2 linked regions of the Astyanax mexicanus genome follow. The protein of the gene in region 2 interacts with the protein of the main gene of each other region in a pairwise test. Links are inferred from orthologs where the notes say so. Each region holds a gene or a part of one and is shown on either strand. Other genes may lie near its edges.

Region 1 (10,835 bases), on a different chromosome or scaffold from region 2:
ACTGCATAATGCAGTAAATCAGTTTAACCAGTTCTGGAGAAATACATTTAAGGTTACATACTAGGTGTACAAAATAAATAAATATGCCTTAGAAAGTAGAATTTATGTCCATTTGTATAAACAGCTTTGTGTATGTGTTCTGTAAAGTCACTTTAAAGTGTAGCTGTAAAAGCTGCAAGGCCAGTCCTTGATTTCTTCTGACCTCCACCAGGAGGTGCACTTGCTGCCCTTTTGCAACACCTCTAACATTACATTATTACATGGAACAGTAGATGCTCTCCACTCTTTTAAGAGACATTTGAATGTCTGTGTTCACATAATACATTTCTGTGAGTGAGTGCTTGTTATAAAATGGCTCAGGTTTTTAGTGCATGTGAATCTAATATTTTTCCAATTTCTTTTTTTTTTTTTTGCCGCAGTCTGGCGAGACACTTCATGGACTGTAAGAGAGCTTTTAATGAGAGAGTGGGCGAGCACAGCCCAAGCAAGGGCAGCCTGACATTAAGCAATAGTCCTCTTAGGAGCACAGTTTAAATTGGCTCTCAATTTTGCTGCAATTTGTTCCCTGCACCCTCATCTCCAAACACCCTCTTGAGCCCCGGCCATTAAGCGGGTCAGCTGACAATATGATAATGTTGAACTGCTTATGATACAGTACAGTACAGTACAGCACTAGTCCTGTACACCACTGTGTAGAACATGCATCATATCTGCTACAAGCTCTTACAGGTAAAGTTCAATAATAAAATATAATAATAAAAAGACCTAATTGTTGAAATGGACTTGTCATTCTTAATACCCTCTTTGTCATTAACCAAGTACCCATAGTATTTCACAAAGAACTAGAAAAAGTGGATTTTAATGGAGGGAAACCTTTAATACCTTTTTGGCATTAACAGAGCAGGCTGTGTCAGACTGAGATGAATCTAAATACTCTTTATATGCGTCCCCAACACTCATTAGCCATTTTCAGAGTAATCAAGGCAAAATGTCTCTCTCTGACTGAGCCATCAAAGGAAAGCCGGCAACTTCAGCATGGAGCTTACTGTGCTTTCAAGTGCATCTTAGATGGTACGTTTCTCTAAGGTGACACTCGTTTCCCTGACTTGTTCATGGGTCATGTTCATGTGGTTTACTTGGGAGGTAATAAAAAACAGAGAATGACAAGACATTTTAATGTTTTTTTTTTTTATGTTTATGTAAAATAACATACTGCTCTGGAAAAAATAAGTGACCACTTCAGTTTATGAATCAGTTTCTGTAATTTTGCTATTTATAGGTTTATGTTTTAGTAAAATAAACATTGTTGTTTTATTCTATAAACCATGGACAACATTCCTCCCAAAATCCAAATAAAAATATTGTCATTTAGAGCATTTATTTGCAGAAAATGAGAAATGGCTGAAATAACAAAAAAGATGCAGAGCTTTCAGACCTCAAATAATGCAAAGTTTTTGATCACAGTTTTCATGCATCTTGGCATGTTCTCCTCCACCAGTCTTACACACTGCTTTTGGATAACTTTATTCTTCTCCTGGTGCAAAAATCCAGGGAGTTCAGTTTGGTTTGATGGCTTGTGATCATCCATCTTCCTCCTGATTATATTCCAGAGGTTTTCAATTTAGTAAAATTTAAAGAAGCTTATAATTTTTAAGTGGTCTCTTTTTTCCTGTATATGGTTGTATATGTTTGGTTGTAGATGTAAAGAAAAAATTGATTGTATTAGAATGCAATTTTTATTTTATATTTTACCTTTAATTAAATGCTTGACTGTGACCAAAATAAGGTTCCTGAATTGTGTTTTCTACTGAGACTACATGAATGTACAAGAGGCAGTAGGAGCAGAGGAGGCATCTAAATAAAAAAAAAAAAAAGAACATATTGTCAGACGACTTCCACGACTTCTTGTCTCTTGGACACGGCCAAAGGTTCCATAGGTTGGGACTAGACTGGTTATGGACAGCAAGAACAGAGACAGACGGTGTGTGACTTCATTCTTAGCTTAGTATGCCTTTACTCCACTACAAAAAACCTGCAGATGTTTAAAATGTTTTTTTATTATTATTTAGTATCTTTAAGAAGTTGCCCTCCTCTCGCTGATCACTCCTGCAAGATTCTGATCAGGCTACAGCTGCAGTAACCAGTGCAGCCGCCCACCTGCTTAGTGCCTTCTAAGCTCTGTAGGGGCACTGCAGCGCACCACTGCGCACGCTTCTGAGAAGAGATGGGAAACGGCCTGTAACAGCCGCACTGAGACAGCAGGGGTGGCGTCCCAGGCGCCGCCAAAGACAAGAGATTACGGCTTGTCATAATTACCCGAGCTCAGCTTGGGGAGAAAAAGCATTAAAAAGCTTTTGCTTCCGTTTCCCCCGTACATTACAGGGACATATTTTCAGCACTGCGTTGTTGTCGGGCTAAATGCCTCACTATAGGACCACAAACTGTGTGTATGGGGGGGCTTGTTCTGTGCACCAATTAAATGAAGGGGCCTTTTAGCAGGGAGGACTTAATCACCTCTGGCAAAGGGCAGGACTGGGGGAGCCTTTCAACACCCTTTCAACTGGCAAAGGTCATCTGAGGCCTTTATAGAGGCACGAAGGTAATGAGGGTGTCGCAGGAGTGAGAAAGCAAGTGAGAAAGCACCCCTCCTGAAACAGCGGAAGTACCAGGTTTCCTCTGCATGAAGATCTCACAGAGGAAATCTCAGATTTGTTATGACTCAGATTTGACAACAGAATGTCTACTCTCAATTGTATTACACTGCAGAGACTTATTATTATGAAGAGCTTATTGGCAAAAACAAAGCTATTCTTTTAAACATAACTGTTTTTGCAATTTAACTCTTCACATGGTGCATGGAGCCCAGTAGTTCTGAATTTTGGTCCTAAAGTACCACTGCTCTGCATGGTGAGGTGTTTTCCAAAATAAAACACACCCAGATCACCTCAGGAAGGTTTTGCTTTAAGCTTCAATCAAGGAAAAACATTGAGAGCAACTACAGAACAACCCTATATAAAACAACTACAGTCCTCAAAATCCAACCATGTATAGTTTTAACAGTGATCACTAACCCTGGTTCTGAAGATCTTACAACACCTAATCAGAAAATGTTGGAAACTTATAAAAAATGTTTCTCTAAAAATGTGTTTTTATTTACTTTGACACTATGAACCTAGGATATTTATTTTTTTAGCATACATCCATTCCTGCATTCAGACCTGTAGTACTTGGTAATGTTGTAATGTCTTCTCACTTACAAGAAGAGTATTTCTAAATCTAATCTAATCTAAATTTTGTCCTATTTTTCTTGGAAACATGTCTTAAGGTGTGCAACAGTACAGTATTGTTTTCTCATTTTGTGCTTCAAAAGTCTCCACACTTTCTCTGTTAGGGACAGGTGAGGACTGAGACAGGCCAGTCCAGTACCAATGCCCTCTTCCTCAGAAGCATCACCTGGTAGCTTTTCATTGTCTAGTTGAAAAATGCATGAAGGTCCCTGGAAAATGCATGGTCCTTCTTGGCTTTGGTTTGAAGCTCACAGAGTTGACCTGGAATATTGATTTGTCTGATTAAATACGTGTTTCCACAGTGTGATGGTCCATCCCAGATGTTTTTGAACCCAGAGGAGTTGATCCTGCTTCTGAACATGGTTAACATAACATGCTTTGCTGCTAACTAAGTTCTTTTAATGTTTTTCAGTGCTTCTACATTTTGTAGGTGCATTACACATAGTACTTGACCAGCTGCCCTCTTGGAAATAACGCTGCTACAAATGTTAGTGAACAATTCCACAGTAGAACCACTTCTGGTTTAAGTAAGATTAAAAATGTGTTTTTTTTCTGAAACCAAATGTGTGCTTCTATACTCTTTTTAGAACCATTAATAGCATGAGTGGATCGGATGCAGTGTGATGCAAGGGAAGAGGCAGGGTGAGACCACTGGTTTAAATGATTTCCTGCACCCAGCATGCCTGATGCAGCTCATCATCTAATTATCAAGCCCTTCATGGGGTTGGTCAGTAGTGATTGTGGCAGAGAGTATCTGAAACTGTGCAGGTCAGTGGGTCTCCAGGACTGGAGGTGACAACCTCTGTGCTGAAATTTACAAGAGATGTGTTTTTCTTGCTTCTTTATACTATTTTCTATCTTCTTTTGATGTGAAGGTAAATATTACCTAAATTTAACAGCTATTATAAACTAAAAGTAACAAAATAAAGTCTGTCTAACATTTCTAAATATTAAATACATTACAAAAACAAGGCCAACACTCCCAAAAAAGATTAGTACACATTAAAGGGGGAATGACTACACACTGATGATGCCTGATAGGGGCAAATGAACCTAGTATGGTACCAGGAGCCAAAAGAAAAGATGCAAGTTTTATTGCACAAACACAGTTTGCTGTATTTTATTAAAAGAAAAAATATTCTAGATAATAATCTACTCAATGGCTGCTCACCACTGAGGAAGAGTATAATCTGTTAATGCCTGTCCCCGTTCTCCATCACATCTTTTGAAAAATGTTCAAAGCGAGAGTGTCACCTACTACCACCAGCATTTCTTCTATTACTGTCTCTACTTCATGCCATTAAGGTTGTTTCCTGGACCAAAATAACTTCTGACAAGGTTGTGTAATATTGATGCAGCCTGCTAGGGGTCTGCAATGTCTCCAGGATAGACCTTGGTTGAAACTTGTCAGCCTGTGGACTGGTACAGAATGTTGCTGCTTACATTGAATTAGGAGCATGTTCAACCGTGGGTTAGAATACATTCTAAATCACATGTGAAAAATTTTTATTCTGTAAACAAAAAAAAAAGGTGTCATTTTGTATAGGGCAGTGATACACTAAAACCTGATCAGCATGATTTAGTTAGTTATATGTAAATGTGCATTTTACCTTTTTGCTTATCTCTGAGATATCTACTTTTTGTCTACTTCATTTTTTACATATCTGCAGATACAATTTTGTCTCGGCAGATAAGACCATAGGTTCTCCAGAGACAATTACTCCTCCATTATTCAGCTGCCCATTGTTGCATTCCTGCTCACACTGTGGGCTGTGAGGCTAATGTTCAGGTCACGGATGTGTCCCTGGAGACACACTCATTAGACTCTTTGGAAATTTGCTTATACAGCAAATGCAGCGGCACTGGACAAACTTGTTTTCACAAATGATTACAGTGTGTTACTCAAAGTCGAGTTCAGGCTGATTAAATATACTTTTACTGCTGCTGGTACTTGGTATGAATAAAAAGCTACACAAAAGCTTCACATATGGCTTGATGAAATCAGTATCAAATTATAGTTTGGAGATTTTATTACTGCTACAGTAAACAAGTACAGGATCATAAAAAACATATGACCAAAAGAGATCTTGTCAAACAGAACTTTGTGTGTCATTGTCTGTATTTAACAGCTGGTATGGTGAAGCAAACCCTGTAGGTTCCAGTTTACCCAACCGAACACATTTATAATTTATAATCAAGGAATTGATGTATATGAAGAAGAAATTATACAAAGTTGACCAGACAGAACATAAACACTGTCCCTACTTTTTTGTTTTGGGTTAGTAATTCAACTCCAATACAAATCCATTTCATCCACTGGTGGGACACGTTGTTGTGACAGGAGCACCTAACCAGGTACTTCATCATTTTTCACCTATAGGAGAACCTAATACAGCACTGCATCTCATTTTCTCTGCTGGGAAAAAAAGCATCCTTTGGGACGCTGTGCAGCAGATGTGGGAGTGAAGGTGCTTCATAACGGCACTCAAAGATGGGTTCTCATTGAGACACTTGAAAATTTCTTGATCTAGAGAACTTCTTTTTGGGGGCACCCTAGCAGACACTTTTTGGCCACTTTAGCGAACCACTGGGAACACCTAGGGGGGCAGTTGCCCCTCTGGCCCACCCCCTTAAGTCTGCCAGTGTCTGACTTACAGCTTACAGCAGATCAACCGTGTGCTTCAGAGTCTAGCTAGATCCCTGAGAACTATATACATAATCTACTTCATCCAGTTTAACTAAATCAGAATGAAGTTCTGCTCCGCGCAATCGGGTCTGTTTCAGTACCAGTCATGCAGGCAGGCATCCAAGTGTGCAGGCAGGGCAGCGCAGGGCAGGGTTTGCTCCAGCAGCAGCAGCAACAGCACCTGCACTGAGAGAAGCCTCGCTTCAGAGGGGCAGTAAGTGCGCGTGCCTTGGAGAGGTAGGTGTGTGTGCGCGCGCGCGTGTGTATGTGTTTGGGCATGTGCTGATGTCAGAGGGGAGGAGGGACCGGCCCCCATAGCGCGCAGCATGAACGCGCGGAGGCAAAAGGATGTGTGAGCAGGCAGCGCGCAACTGCAGGGACGTCGTCCACAAGCTGCTCCACAAGGAACAAGGCAAACTCCGCGCGCAGGACAGCGGCGAGCAGCCCAGAGGCGGCGGGCCGCGGGACAGCGAGACAGCGACGGCTGCACCGGCCCAAAACAGCGGCGGAGGAGCCCAGCCCGGGGGAATCGACGGGCTCGTCCGCTGGATAGTCACCAAGATGAGCGACAACAAAAGCATCTCGACGCGGGAGTACGCCAAGGAGGAGGAGGAGGTGGCCGTGGCCCAGGAGCAGTTCTTCGCCCCGGAGCCGCGGAAAGGCATCTCCGTCATTCTGGACGTAAGTGTTTGTTTAGCTGCGTGTTTGTGTTCGCGCCTGTGTGTGTGTGTTAGTGTAAAGTGTGTTAGCGTTTGTGTACGCTGATGTTGAAGGGTTGGCTGGTGCTCGCGCTTAAAGTTTAACTTTGTTTCTGGCAGTAAAATGACTTGCGGAGGAGTTAGGAGGAGGTGTTTCAGCGGTTTGGCTGAGTTTAACGTTACTTAGCTAGATTAGCTAATTAACCGGTGTGGTAACGTTAGCTACACGTCTGGAAAAAAAATAAGAGAATCAGTTTAACTGATTTTGCTATTTATAGGTAACATGTTTGTGTAAAATGAACATTGTTGTTTTGTTCTGTAAACTACAGACAATATTTCTCACAAATTCCAAATATTGTCATTTAGAGCATTTATTTGCAGAAAATAAGAAATGTCTGAAATAACAAAAAAGATGCAGAGCTTTCAGACCTCAAATGATTCATACAGTTTTAAGAGTTCAGAAATCAATATTTGGTGGAATAACCCTGGTTCTTAACCACAGTTTTCATGCATCTTGGCATGTTCTCCACCAGTCTTACACACCGCTTTTGGATAACTTTATGCCACTCCTGGTGCAAAAATTCAAGCAGTTCAGATTGGTTTGACGGCTTGTGATTATCAATCTTACTCTTGATTATCTTCCAGAGGTTTTCAGTTTGGTAAAATCAAAGAAACTCATCATTTTCAGGCGGAATCTTATTTTTTCCAAATCTGTATCTAGCTAGTTACTAGCTAACCTAGTTAGCTAACGTTAGGTTGCATAGCACCCTCTCCGTAACGCCGTTGCCTCGCGCTCAAGTCATTTAATTCAGTGGAGCTCAAAAACGAACACAAACGTTGTGCAACTTTCTGAATTGTAACAGCTGCGTTAAACTGCCTTCACACCCCAACCAACGCCTCTTCTAGTGAGCAGGATTCGTATTCTTTAGATTAATACTCTAAAAAAGTGAAAAATCGGATGTAAATCCGCCTGGAGAGTGAGTACATGTGTACAAACCTTAGCCAGCTAACTTACTAGCGACGCCAACACATTCGTTTTAAGTGGTTATGAGGGTTAAGTCTTTAAATTATTAACCCTCTGTGACATTATTAACACTTCAAGCAACAAACCAAGTTTTTGGTTGATACACTGTAGCTTATTTTTATGTATTTCATTTTAATATAATGTCACAATGAATATATACGCTACGCCAAATACAACGAGACGTACAATGGGTCATAATAAGTATAGAAAATGTTTGGCTGTTTATATTTTTACAATATTCATGCTGTAAACTTACTAAAACAGTGTTTTTTCATTTGTTGAACACATGCCTGCATGTTTTGGTTGATTTCTTGCTCTGAAACACCTGATTCAAATCTAAATTGTATACGTTTGATTACCTATATTCACATGGGCTTTCAACATTCCAAACATCATAGTATTCCTTCCAAAAATATAATTTGTCATTGAGCGTTAAATCATTTTAGAACAGCACAGTAACAGAATAATAGTCTCTCTTAAAATTAGGTCTTGTCTTGTTTATCACGTAATTTCTTGTAACAAATCTGTTTTTGACAGAAACATTACTTAAGGAGGGCTAGGTTCGCTAGCTAACCTGTGATATCTAGTTTGCTAGTTAGTTAGTTAACCTAGTTAGGGAGCCTAGCATCCTCTCTGTAACGCCGCTGCTTCGCGCTAAAGCCATTTAATTCAGTGGAGCTCAGAAACGAACACGAATGTTGGGCAAGATTCTAAAAAGTAACAGCTGCGGTACACTCCTTCACACCACAACCAACGTCTCTTCTAGTGGTTAGGCTTCTTATTCTGTAGCTTAATACAAATATTTTACTGAAATATTAAATATTAAATTTATTGTGAGGGTGCGAAGCTCTCTAGTGTTTAAATTAGACTGCGTAACTGAGATCAGCTGGAGCCGAGGGCGAGCGTCTTCTTTTCCCGCCTCTTCTCAGTTAAGCCCCTCCTTTGGCTAAACTCTTGTGCTGTGATTGGTTCATAGTTCATACTCTATCGATTCACTCGTGGATGTGAACTACTAGCGAATCCCAGCGCCTGGCAGAGATACTACCAGCCAATGCTAGCGCAGGAGGCGGGGCTTGCCCAAATACTGGCGGTTTAAAAGAAATACAACGCGCACGGAAGCAGCCGTGTGAAATCTTTTATAATCTCATATCATCAATATTATTAAGATAGTCTTATAGTATGACTAGCCTACATAGTTTATCTCTTAATTAATTAATCGATTTTCCCGTTGTTTACGCCCCCAATGTATTTTCTCTCACGACCATAACACAGCCTATGTGACAAGCACACCCTGCCTAAATAATTGATTAACTTTTCCTAGTGAAGCCCTGCTGTGCTCAGGCGAGGTCTCAGCTGTATTGATTTAGCAGGTCAAAGTGGTGCCTCACTATCTTCTCAGAGCTCCTGATCATTCATTACCCTACCTGTGTCTTCTGGGGGGAAAAAAAGTTAAAACCCTGCCTGCCAGTGGAGCGAAAAGTAGTTCATTTCCAGACCCAGATACAGGAAAAAAAAAGGTAGTAATGTGTTTAACTGGTGCATTAAAACCAATTAAAAAAAGAAGAAGAAAAAAGAGACAAGTTTGTAATAAAAGACTCGAGGCACAGTTGTACCCCAGAAATGTGAAATTAAGAAAATCATACTCTGGAGGGGAAAAAATAAACGAGTATGAGACACAGGAGGATGAGAAGAAATGGTGCAAGAGAGGATCAGGAGCTATAGAAAAAAGGGAGAGAACAAGAGTGTGTGTGTGTGAGAGAGAGAGAGAGAGAGAGAGAGAGAGAAAGAGAGAAAGAGAAGGAAGAGTGCATAGCGCTCCATGGAGGCTCACTTGGGAGCGCAGGTGCCTGTCAGGGAATTGATTTCCAGCCTCACTTCGGGGGTGGATTCCATTACCTGCGTGAAGCCTCTGCTATGCCTGGGCCGTGTGGAGAGCTCATCACTACTAATCCAAAGCTAAAAGTTTATCTGGCATGCCTGTTTAACTCTAGGAGCCCCTTCACTAGGTCCAATATGGCGAAGGCAAAAGCATTTAATTTAAAGTAATTTTGGAGCATTTCTGTTTGTCTATTTTTCATGGAGTTTTAAAACATTGTACAGATCTGTTACTTTGTTCAAATGAAGTATATCCTCACTTTAATGGAAAAAAAACCTTGAATCCCCTAAATGGCAACTCTTGAGGAGAAGAAAAAGAGAAAAATGCCTTAAACACCAATAGAAGTTAATGTAAAAACAAAATCTTATTCCAGATTATTTTGTCACATTTTATTGGTTTGATCATAATAAAATTGGGTACAGTATACAAAATAACTGACAGATTCACATTAGGGTTGTGTTAATCAGACTATTTTGCCCTCAATCTGTGTTTGTGTAATGTTTGTGTGAATAATACTGCTGCACAGTTTAGAGGTGCTGTGGATATACTGCTTTTACATGTAAGTAAAATCACTTTATTTTAAGTAAGAGTTTATAGAATGAGACATCATGGTCTGATTTATTTAGTTTTGTAGTCTTTAAATAAATTTTTTATATGTGTTAAATGAATATCTCATCATGCAGTTCTCATATTTATATATATATATATTTGAAATGTATTCAATTTCAACTCTTTTATTTCATTTTATTTTAAGACCTCTCCTTACTGCTGCTGTTGGCTGGGCAATTATGTAATGGTCCCATGAGGCCACCAGATGGTACTCTGAACCCTGTGGTTAAAACAAAGACTTGGAACTGGATTGAGGTTAAAATAGTCAATAACCGATACATTAAAATATGCCTGGATCGATCCCGATCACTGTGTTAGATCTGGACTGCCCTGATTCATATTGTGTCGAAAAGTGTAAAAATGAATGGGAAGAATGTATGTGTCCCAACTTACTGTAAACCAGCAACACTAATATCAAATTGTATGCGCTTAAGATTTCAACATCAATATTGGAAATGAAGAATGGTATCATTTAACACAGACATAAATATCTGACACTTAACAGTTAAGTTGTTGTATCTGTTTATGATCCAATATCCAACTGATTTAATTTAATATATGGGAAGTTGGCATTTATTTTTATTAGTGCCATGTTATTGGTATTCATCTTTATTGTCTTCACTGTAAATTAGCAAATACTTAAAACAACCTCAAG
Region 2 (10,151 bases):
AAAATGTCACCAAATCTGCTGGGTCAAAAATATACATACAGCAACAAAATTTGTCAATTTTGGTGATGTAGCGAGTTGTGTCAATCAAATTAGCTTCATGTCATGGCCTCTTCACTTCTTGTAAGTGATTCTGATTGACTACAGCTGTTGACTTCTCATGAGCCCATTTAAATAGGGCTCATTTGACCCAGTGATTAGACTCAGCTACAAAAGCTACAATGGGAAAGTCAAAGGAACTCAGTGTGGATCTGAAAAAGCGAATTATTGACTTGAACAAGTCAGGGAAGTCACTTGGAGCCATTTCAAAGCAGCTACAGGTCCCAAGAGCAACTGTGCAGACAATTATACGCAAGTATAAAGTGCATGGAACAGTTGTGTCACTGCCACGATCAGGAAGAAAACGCAAGCTATCACATGCTGCCGAGAGGAGATTGGTCAGGATGGTCAAGAGTCAACCAAGAATCACCAAGAAGCAGGTCTGCAAGGATTTGGAAGCTGATGGAACACAGGTGTCAGTCTCCACAGTCAAGCGTGTTTTACATCGCCATGGACTGAGAGGCTGCCGTGCAAGAAAGAAGCCCTTGCTCCAGAAAAGGCACCTTAAGACTCGGCTGAAGTTTGCTGCTGATCACATGGACAAAGATAAAACCTTCTGGAGGAAAGTTCTCTGGTCAGACGAAACAAAAATTGAGCTGTTTGGCCACAACACCCAGCAATATGTTTGGAGGAGAAAAGGTGAGGCCTTTAATCCCAGGAACACCATGCCTACTGTCAAGCATGGTGGTGGTAGTATTATGCTCTGGGGATGTTTTGCTGCCAGTGGAACTGGTTCTTTGCAGAAAGTAAATGGGATAATGAAGAAGGAGGATTACCTCCAAATTCTGCAGGAAAACTTAAAACCATCAGCCCGAAGGTTGGGTCTTGGGCGCAGTTGGGTGTTCCAACAAGACAATGACCCAAAACACACATCAAAAGTGGTAAAGGAATGGCTAAACCAGGCTAGAATTAAGGTTTTAGAATGGCCTTCCCAAAGTCCTGACTTAAACCCCATTGAGAACATGTGGACAGTGCTAAAGAAACGGGTTCATGCAAGAAAACCATCACATTTAGCTGAACTGCACCAATTCTGTCAAGAAGAGTGGTCAAACATTCGACCTGAAGCTTGCCAGGAGCTTGTGGATGGCTACCAAAAGCGCCTAGTTGCCGTGAAAATGGCCAAGGGACATGTAACCAAATACTAATGTTGCTGTATGTATATTTTTGACCCAGCAGATTTGGTGACATTTTCAGCAGACCCATAATAAATTTATGAAAGAACCAAATTTTATGACTGTTTTTTGTGACAAACATGTATGTGTTCCGATCACTCTATCACAGAAAAATAAGAGTTGTAGAACTTATTGAAAACTCAAGACAGCCATAACATTATGTTTTTTTACAAGTGTATGTAAACTTTTGACCACAACTGTATATGTACGCCTATCAAAACTAATACAGAAGGGCTTATTTAACAGAACAGTATTGGCCAATTTTAAAAAATTGTCCTTTCACCTAGAAACTCTAAATGCTCCCAATGATATAATCCCCATGAGAAAACCAGGCTTATTTTTAGTTCTGGAAAGAACAAAAGAAGAGCTTTTGCCAGAAGAAGAATTTGAGCTGAAGGGGTTTCCAGGCACTCCGGAGTAATCCCTCACCTTTAAACCACGCCCCAGGCTTAAACAGGGCCTTCTTCAGGGAGCCGTACAGGTGAAAGTTCAGCCGCTTGTACTCTGCGATGTCGTCCCGGATCCGCGGCAGCAGCACTAGGTTGTAGAAGCGTTGGGCCATTCGCTCTTTTAGATTAGCGGAGAAGATCCTGCACCAGAACCAGCAGCAAAGACAAAGGAGGAATGCATACAAATAAAAGAGAAAAAAAAATGAGAGCACTTAAAATATTTAGTTTCTTTGATTTTACCAATTATAATCAAGAGGAAGATGGACGATCACAAGCCATCAAACCAAGCTGAACTGCTTGAATTTTTGCATATCTGCCTCTGCAGCATCCTGGGGTGCGTTATCTTGTTTCTCAGTGAGCATATATGTATATGAAATTGTGAACCAGGCTGCTTCTAAATTAACTCACCGTGTGGCCTGGTACATGGCGGCAGCCGTCCACTTCTCCGGATCTGTGAGGTAAAGCACCTGCTCCCAGTTTGAGAGCGCTGGGATGATTTTAAAGGCTTTGGGCAGCTTCCCACTGCGATACCTACAAAGAACCTGAAACAAAAGAACAAATATCGATCATAGATAAATCAGTGATCAAAATAAACTGAAATACAGCATGTTTTAGAGCTGCACAAAATATCATTTTATATACAAGCTCATTAAATCACACCATAGTACATGCAATTTTCCTAAAAGCTTTTCGCTGCTTGATACAAAGAAAAATCAAATTTTACGTGACTATATCCACTATATTAACAATTACATCTACCCAATACCATTTTTTGACTCCAATCACTGATACACATATTGTACTATTAATATTATGGCATTTTAGATTATTGACTTAATTCACTGACACTGAAATTTGGATAAAATTCCTGATACTCATTGCAACAAATATTGTACAACAAAATTTCACAATGTCAGGTTTTTACCCCCATATCATGCAGACCTAGTATGTATTACAAGAGTAATAAACTTAATTAATTTATCCTGAAGCTCATAAAAAAAAATCTCTAGTAAAGTGGCCAGATAGAAGCAGCACAAGGTAGGTGTGTCTAATAAAGTGGAAAATAGGTGTTTCTGATTAAGTGGTCAATGAGAGAAAGCACAAAAAAGGGGTTGCCAATAAAGTGGCAAAAGAATGTAGGCACAAAACTGGGGTTTCTAATAAAATGGCCAATGAGTGGAGGCACAAAAGTAGGTGTTTCTAATAAATTGGCCAGTAGGTGGATGCAAAAGGTAGGTGTTGCTCAGTCTCACCTTACTGACTCCTCTGTACACTTCAATCACCCTGGGGTCCAGCTGTGGATTGGGCATCCCCGACACCTCCGACATCACAGTGCCCACCTCCGTCTGCTTCTCTGTTAACTTCTCCATGATTATATCGGCTAGAGTGCGCCTTTACAAAAAAAAAATAAATACATTAAAAATAATTTTTACTATAAACATTGATATTTCTCTTTAAAATGAAGTTTGTGAACATGTTCAAACAAATATATACCAGCAAAATACAGTCCTATATTTAAACAAATCCAAATACATAAAGTAAAAATAAGATCAATTCAAATCAAATAGTTTTGCATATGTACAGGACTTTTAGAGGATTGAAATTACGTTACTCTCCTTCCCAAAAATTACAGCAAGATAAAAAAATATATAAATATAAAAATGAAAGACACTAAACGTACAATACGACATGGACACAGAGAGACATACACGAGACAAGAGACACAAGACAATAGTGCAATAGTGATGGGGGGATTAAAAGGAAATGACAGCACTGTGTTGTAAACAGAACAGAACCTGTATAAACATCAGTGCAAATAAAAGTGCACTAAATACTTTCACTAAACATTATGTTATTTATCTTTCAAGTGAATATGTTTGGAAAAATATATATACCAGCACAGTGCCATGTTGAAAAAAAAGTTAAATACATTAAGTAAAAATAAGATAAACTAATAATATGTTTAATTAGAGAGAATGATTTTTGTTGTGCTTGTTGCAACAATATATTTGCATGGAAACAACCAAAAAGTATGATGTTTTTTCCAACATCCATAAGGATACGCGTGCCTATGCTTTATATTGTGTGGTGTGGCATAGGGATGGGACTAAATATTGATCAGAGATATAATTGCATCTTTTTTGTTTGCAACTACTTGAATTTCTTGTCTCTTAATGTGTTTGAGAGCATCAGTTGTAAAGTAGTGAAGAGGTAGAGTTACAGGTATACAGTGAATAACTCTATTTGAGTACTGTTCTAATCCAGATTATGAGAAGCAAGAAATACTCAACTAAGTAAAAAGAAAAAATACTTTATGACTAAGAAATTAAGTCAATCTAAAAAATTTCAAGAACTTTGAAAGTATCCTTTAGCGCAGCCGCACATCAAAGCGATATGATGAAACTAGTACTCAACAGGACTGCCCCAGGAAAGAAAGAGCAAGAGTACATTATTAATAAGAAGAGCCACACTGCCCTATAGTGGAGCAGCCACCTTGCACTGTTACCCTTGTTGTCCAGGTGTTCTTTACCTCACTGGTGGGTTTTTGTTCATGAACATCTGTATGGCTTTTTCATCATCCGGATCCACCTCCACCTCAGCAACCGCCCCCACCTCATGATCCTCTGTTCCCATGGCACCCAGCTCTGGCCATTCCTCATCAGAGTCTCCATCCTGAGTATGTGGACCTGCAAACAACACATACTGTTAATAATGATAACAGCAATCTATAATGATTTCAATAACATAAAATAATCAGATTTATAACTTTACAACTAGGGCCATATCATATCACAGGCAATAATATTGCCAACATTTTCAAATACAGTTAACGATATTATACCCTGAAATATTGTACCATATCACTCACCACTAATTATCACATTAGGGTACTACTTTTTTTTTTTGCTGTTTTTAGCAAAAGAAAAATTCACACTGTTCTCATTTTACATTATATATCTACTAGAATCACTTGAAGACGGCAAGAAATTAAAGTTATTTTCCAAGATGTGTAGAGCTGTCATCAAAGCAAGAGGAGATACTTTGAAGAATGTAAAATATATAAAACATATTCTGGTTTGTTTAACACTTTTGTGTTTTTCTGCACAGTTTGGAAGACTTTATTATTAAATTACATTGGGGAACATTTTTGAAATAATGAAAAGAAAAAAATAACACTGAATTTAAGGTGACCACAACAGAGCACTTAGCTTGTGTGGTGGGTGGTTACTCGCAGTAATAGCACTGATTAGCATGGTGGTGGTGTATGAGGTGTTAGTGTGTGCTGAGCTGGTACAGTAAGTTGATCAGATACAGTAGTGCTGCTGATGGTTTTAAACACCGTGTTTAATCTCTCACTATCCTCCACTCTATTACACACTCCTACCTACAGCTGATTAGGGCTGCAACGATTAGTCAATATCATTGACAATGACGATTTTTAAAAATTTGTCGGCTCCAAATTTTCGATGTCGACTAATCGTCAATTAGTAGCACTACACAAATTACTGGGGACAAACACAATGTTAGAAGGGTAACTGGGTCTCCAAAAGAGCCCAATCACAACAGATTTCACATTTCCTCACTAAAGATCAGCACCTTCCATATTCAAAAGACAATGTTCTGGATATGTAAAGGGCATTTAAATCCCATGTTTAGCTGTTTTCTATCGTTTTGAACCAATAGTGAAAGCTAGAAACAGAAGCTCTACCAACAGCAAGCAGAGGGGAAGGCAGAAATAATCATTGACTAATCGAATAATCTGAAAAATATTCAGAAGATTAGTTAAATATTAAAATAATCATTAGTTGCAGCCCTACAGCTGCTCCACCTTACAGATAATGTAAAATTAGAGACAAAATATCTGAATTTGTTGCTGCACAGTTTATTTTTTTGTTATTCTTAATCCAGCAGTGACACTGAGGTGTTTAAAAACTCAAGCAGCACTGCTGTCTCTGGTGGTGGTCTATCATGTGATAATATTAATGTATACACGTTTATTTAACTTGCCCAGAACAGTAGAAGGTTTCTTCTTGGCCTCTGGTGTGACTCCGAACTCAGTCTGCAGCTCTTCTTGCTGAATCCGAGCCTGCTCCAGAATCCTCCTGGAGAGCTTCTCGTCCACATAGTCCTCCTCCTCCTGTTTTCTGCCCCGGTTTTTGACCCGGCTGTTGGTTCTGATGGTGTCGGACTGAAGCAGCTGATCGGCCAGGGCTACAGAACCTCCGGCCCGGTCCGGTCCACCACCTTTATCCCTCTTTACCTTCGGCATGGCGACAGACTGCTCAGATATAAATGGAGTTTTAAGTTCTACCAAAACCCTCTGTCGCACACACGTGGGTTTCCCTCAACGCTAATGGAGGTGAGGTAACGCAGGGGGTGCTCTGCCGAAAACTGACAACGCCGAAAACTGCACCCGTAGGACCCTTCGGTGGCTGGTTAGATGTGCCTGATGTAAAAGCGATTTTTTTTTTTTACAAATCTTAATTCTTTTGGTAACATATAGGGTCTCATGCTGTATTAAAATGAAATTTACACAGCTTTATTAGCTAACCACATCAATCATTTTATTTACTACATAACGTGCATTTATAATTTTTTTCTTTTAAATAGTTAATACATAATGTATGTTTTTTTTTTTTTTTACTATATTAATATTATATAATTTTTTTCAGTTTTTGATCACTTTTATACCATTTAAGTCATAATTATATTTTGTACTATTTAAGGACAGGCTGAGATTTATTATTATTATTTTTTTTCAAATTAATAATTTTAATAATAATTTTAGTGTGCAATTTTAGTTTGTTGTATATATTAATGCGTGTATAAAATTGACATTAGACGACTTTAGAATGACATATACACAATTATATTACATAAATGATTTTATTTGCTACATAGCGTGCATTTAGATATTTTTCTCTTTTTAATAATGTATTTATTATTATTTCCATTTTTACAGACCAATTGTTAGTCGTTAACTATTTTTTTTATAATATACATGTTTTTTTTTCGAGGAAAGACTAAAAAGATCATATTCGCCAATACAAATATTAGATTAAAAACTAAACAGAATTATATGTTTTCTTGATCATGTATATTTACATTTACAAAAGTATCTTGTCTTTCCTTTTTGTTTTATGTTGTGTTAATGTTTGTCTTTATAAAATGTTAATAAACTTTTCCAAAAAAAGGTCATTCTAATCAGGCGGTGTGACCGGAAACCAGTGAGTGCAGATTGAGTTGGAATACAGATTAGTATGCAGCACCTCCTTTTAAATATCGACGTTTATTTAATTTCTCCAGGTAATAATAGTTTTAATGTGCGAAAACATTTTGTTGTATATATTGATGCATGTATATGAAATTTAAAATTGTAAAAGTTGACATTAGACGACTTTAGAAAGACTTTTATTTTGTCAGTATCCGGATGAAGTCTGGCTGGGTGTTTTGAAGCTGTTGTGGCCGCGCTGTGCAGAGATGGGAGTTACCTGGTAAGAAGAATAAATGAATAAAAGAGTTCAGTTTGGCGATTTTTACTGGTTTCCCGAGATATAAAGAGTATTAATATATTTGTAACTGACATGTGGAGATTTTCTGTAGATCAGGGTTTTTCTCTTTATGCTGCCTTTGTGATCTAAACCAAAAACTGCTGTTCATGAACCAATATTTGGTGGAATAACCCTGTTTTTAATCACAGTTTTCATGCATCTTGGCATCATGTTCTCCTCCACCAGTCTTACACACTGCTTTTGGATAACTTTTTGCCTTTACTCCTGGTGCGAAAATTCAAGCAAGTTCAGTTTGGTGGTTTGATGGTTTGTGATCATCCATCTTCCTCTTGATTATATTCCAGAGGTTTTCAATTTGCTAAAATCAAAGAAAATCATCATCATAAAGTGGTCTCTTATTTTTTACAGAACTGTGTATATTTTTGAAATTACTAAAATATATATATTACATTACATTACATTTGGCAGACGCTTTTGTCCAAAGCGACTTACAATAGTCAAGTACAATGTAAAATAAGTTTCAAGGTAAAACATCTTTGGATAGGGATAAAAGGAGGACACAGGGGAATAATAGGATAGAGGAGTGAAGGAGAGGAAGAAGGAAATGAGGTTAGAAGTAGTTAGTGTGTTAGAGGTGTTAAGAGAGTAAGTGCTCTTTGAAGAGCTCTGTCTTCAGGAGTTTATTAAAGATAGTGAGAGATTCTCCTGATCTGGTAGTGGAAGGTAGTTAGTTAGAGGTGTTAGGAGAGTAAGTGCTCTTTGAAGAGCTCTGTCTTCAGGAGTTTCTTAAAGATAGCGAGAGATTCTCCTGATCTGGTAGTGGAAGGTAGTTTGTTCCACCATTGGGGAACTCTGTATGAGAACAGTCTGGATTGCTTTGTGTGAGTTTTTGGCAAAGCGAGGCGACGTTCACTGGAGGAGCGCAGCGGCCGGGAGGTAGCGTAAGCCTTCAGGAGCGAGTGCAGGTAGGAAGGAGCCTGTTCTGTCACCGCCTTGTAGGCGATTGTAAGAGCTTTGAATTTGATGCGAGCATCAACTGGTAGCCAATGGAGCTCAATGAGCAGCGGGGTGACATGTGCCCGTTTTGGCTGGTTGAAGACCAGACGTGCTGCTGCGTTCTGGATCATCTGGAGATATATATCATCTGGATCATCTGGAGATATATATATATATATATATATATATATATATATATATATATATATATATATATATATATATATATATATATATATATATATATATATATACTCCCCTACTTAAATAAATACACCCCTACTTAAAATGCACTGAAATAAGTAAGTTTAACTAGTTCCCTAGTGTCCCTGATTATTTCTCAGCTTTTTAATTATGTAATAAGTAGTGTGCAATAGAGCAGGACTACTTTTTATACTTTGTACAGTAGCATACCTGTATTCCAGTGTGTGTGTGTGTATGCGCTGTAGTGTGTGTCAGGTGCCGGTGGCGGAGGGGAAGAGTGTGCAGCAGACGGTGGATCAGCTGCATAAGAAGCTGGAGCAGCTGGGAGGAGTGAAGCAGGGCAGCTTCTTTGTGGACTGTGAGACGTATCACACCACAGGGAACGCCAGCGGTAAATACACTGTATATAAAATACCACCATAAACATAAAAAGTACTAACCCTTTGTTGAATAGCCTACCTCCACTCTCCCATAGCTTTCTGAGATACATTAATTTTGTGCTTTTTGCCCAGCACTCTTCACAACGGCTGCTTTGGGGCATCCACTTACCGACTGGTAATTTGCTTTTAACACCGTTATCCAGCTCAAAGTAGCTCCACATCTCATTGCTAGAATCTGAAGAGCTCTAACGTTTAAAACAAGGCATTAAGAGCTTTAAAAATGCACAAGAATCTTGTTAAAAACCTAAGCCCGAAGCTTCCTGTGCACTTTTTAAATTTCTAAATGCCTCGTTTTAAATGTCAGGGCTCTCCGGAGTCTAACAATGAGGTGTGGAGCTACTTTGAGCTGGATAACGGTGTAAAACTTATTTATCTGCAGGGGCAATGGATGCCCTGAAGCGCACGTTATAAAGAGTGCTGGGAAAAAGCACAAAATTACTGGATCAAGGAAAGCTGCAGGAGAGCGGAGGTGGCCTATTCAACTAAGGTTAGTACTCTTTATCATGTTTTACTACACTAAAACTAAATGTTACCTCAATTTGACCAAGATTGAGGTTAAATCCCTTCAGTCTTCAGTGCCATGCGGCACTTTAGGGGCCGTAGGAAAAATACCGGGCAAAATGAGTAAGAAATAACTCTATTTAACTTTCACAAAATGTGACCTTGTGATACAAAATCAGTGGCAAAATATGTGTACATTTTTTCGTATTTTACCATTGATTTGACAACGAGGCCACATTTTGAGTAAAGTTAAAGGAGAAATCTGGTTTGAAATGGACTTGGGGTGAAGTGAAACATGATGTTCACATTTCACACTTAACATTTAAATAGAGTTATTCACTGCTCATTTTGTCCAGTATTTCCCTTTTCCCTTCTACTGCACTTAGTAAAATAAAAAAGTGAATTTCAGTAAAGATTGTTAAATGAAAAAGGAAAGACTAAGGCTTTAGCTTGTTGTTTTTCATCATTTGAAGAGCCCCTGCTTACAGGCAAATAATGATATATGTAACACATAATTATATATATAACGTGTGTGTGTGTGTATGTGTGTGTATGTGTGTGTATGTGTGTGTATGTGTGTGTGTGTGTGTGTTAGGTCAGCCCTCTAAGCTGCTGTATGTGATGCATAACTCGGAGACTCCGCTGAGCTGCCTGGCTCTGTACGAGGGGGGGCCGTACCTGACTGCAGATGCTAATTTCGACGTCCTGATGGTGAAGCTGAAGAGCCACTTCCAGAACGCTAAAGGTCACAAGGTCGAGAGCCGCGGTGCACGCTACCGA

Evidence for each region.
Region 1: the proteins of bysl (region 2) and necab2 interact in binary tests that used the Homo sapiens proteins (3 or more experiments, as listed by UniProt). The two-hybrid records come from large-scale screens. The link is inferred for Astyanax mexicanus from reciprocal best matches to the Homo sapiens genes BYSL and NECAB2.

Annotation. Positions count from the first base shown.
Region 1 is NC_064416.1:25,387,902-25,398,736, forward strand, and holds the start of necab2 (N-terminal EF-hand calcium-binding protein 2), read left to right. Parts: upstream 1-6,216; 5' UTR 6,217-6,321; coding exon 6,322-6,654; intron 6,655-10,835. UniProt on the Homo sapiens protein: May act as a signaling scaffold protein that senses intracellular calcium.
Region 2 is NC_064431.1:31,839,731-31,849,881, forward strand, and holds the start of bysl (bystin), read right to left. Parts: upstream 6,103-10,151; 5' UTR 5,988-6,102; coding exon 5,726-5,987; intron 4,405-5,725; coding exon 4,248-4,404; intron 3,110-4,247; coding exon 2,971-3,109; intron 2,260-2,970; coding exon 2,126-2,259; intron 1,859-2,125; coding exon 1,698-1,858; intron 1-1,697. Other genes in the region: med20 (mediator of RNA polymerase II transcription subunit 20), read left to right, coding at 7,199-7,212, 8,676-8,821, 9,967-10,151. UniProt on the Homo sapiens protein: Required for processing of 20S pre-rRNA precursor and biogenesis of 40S ribosomal subunits. May be required for trophinin-dependent regulation of cell adhesion during implantation of human embryos.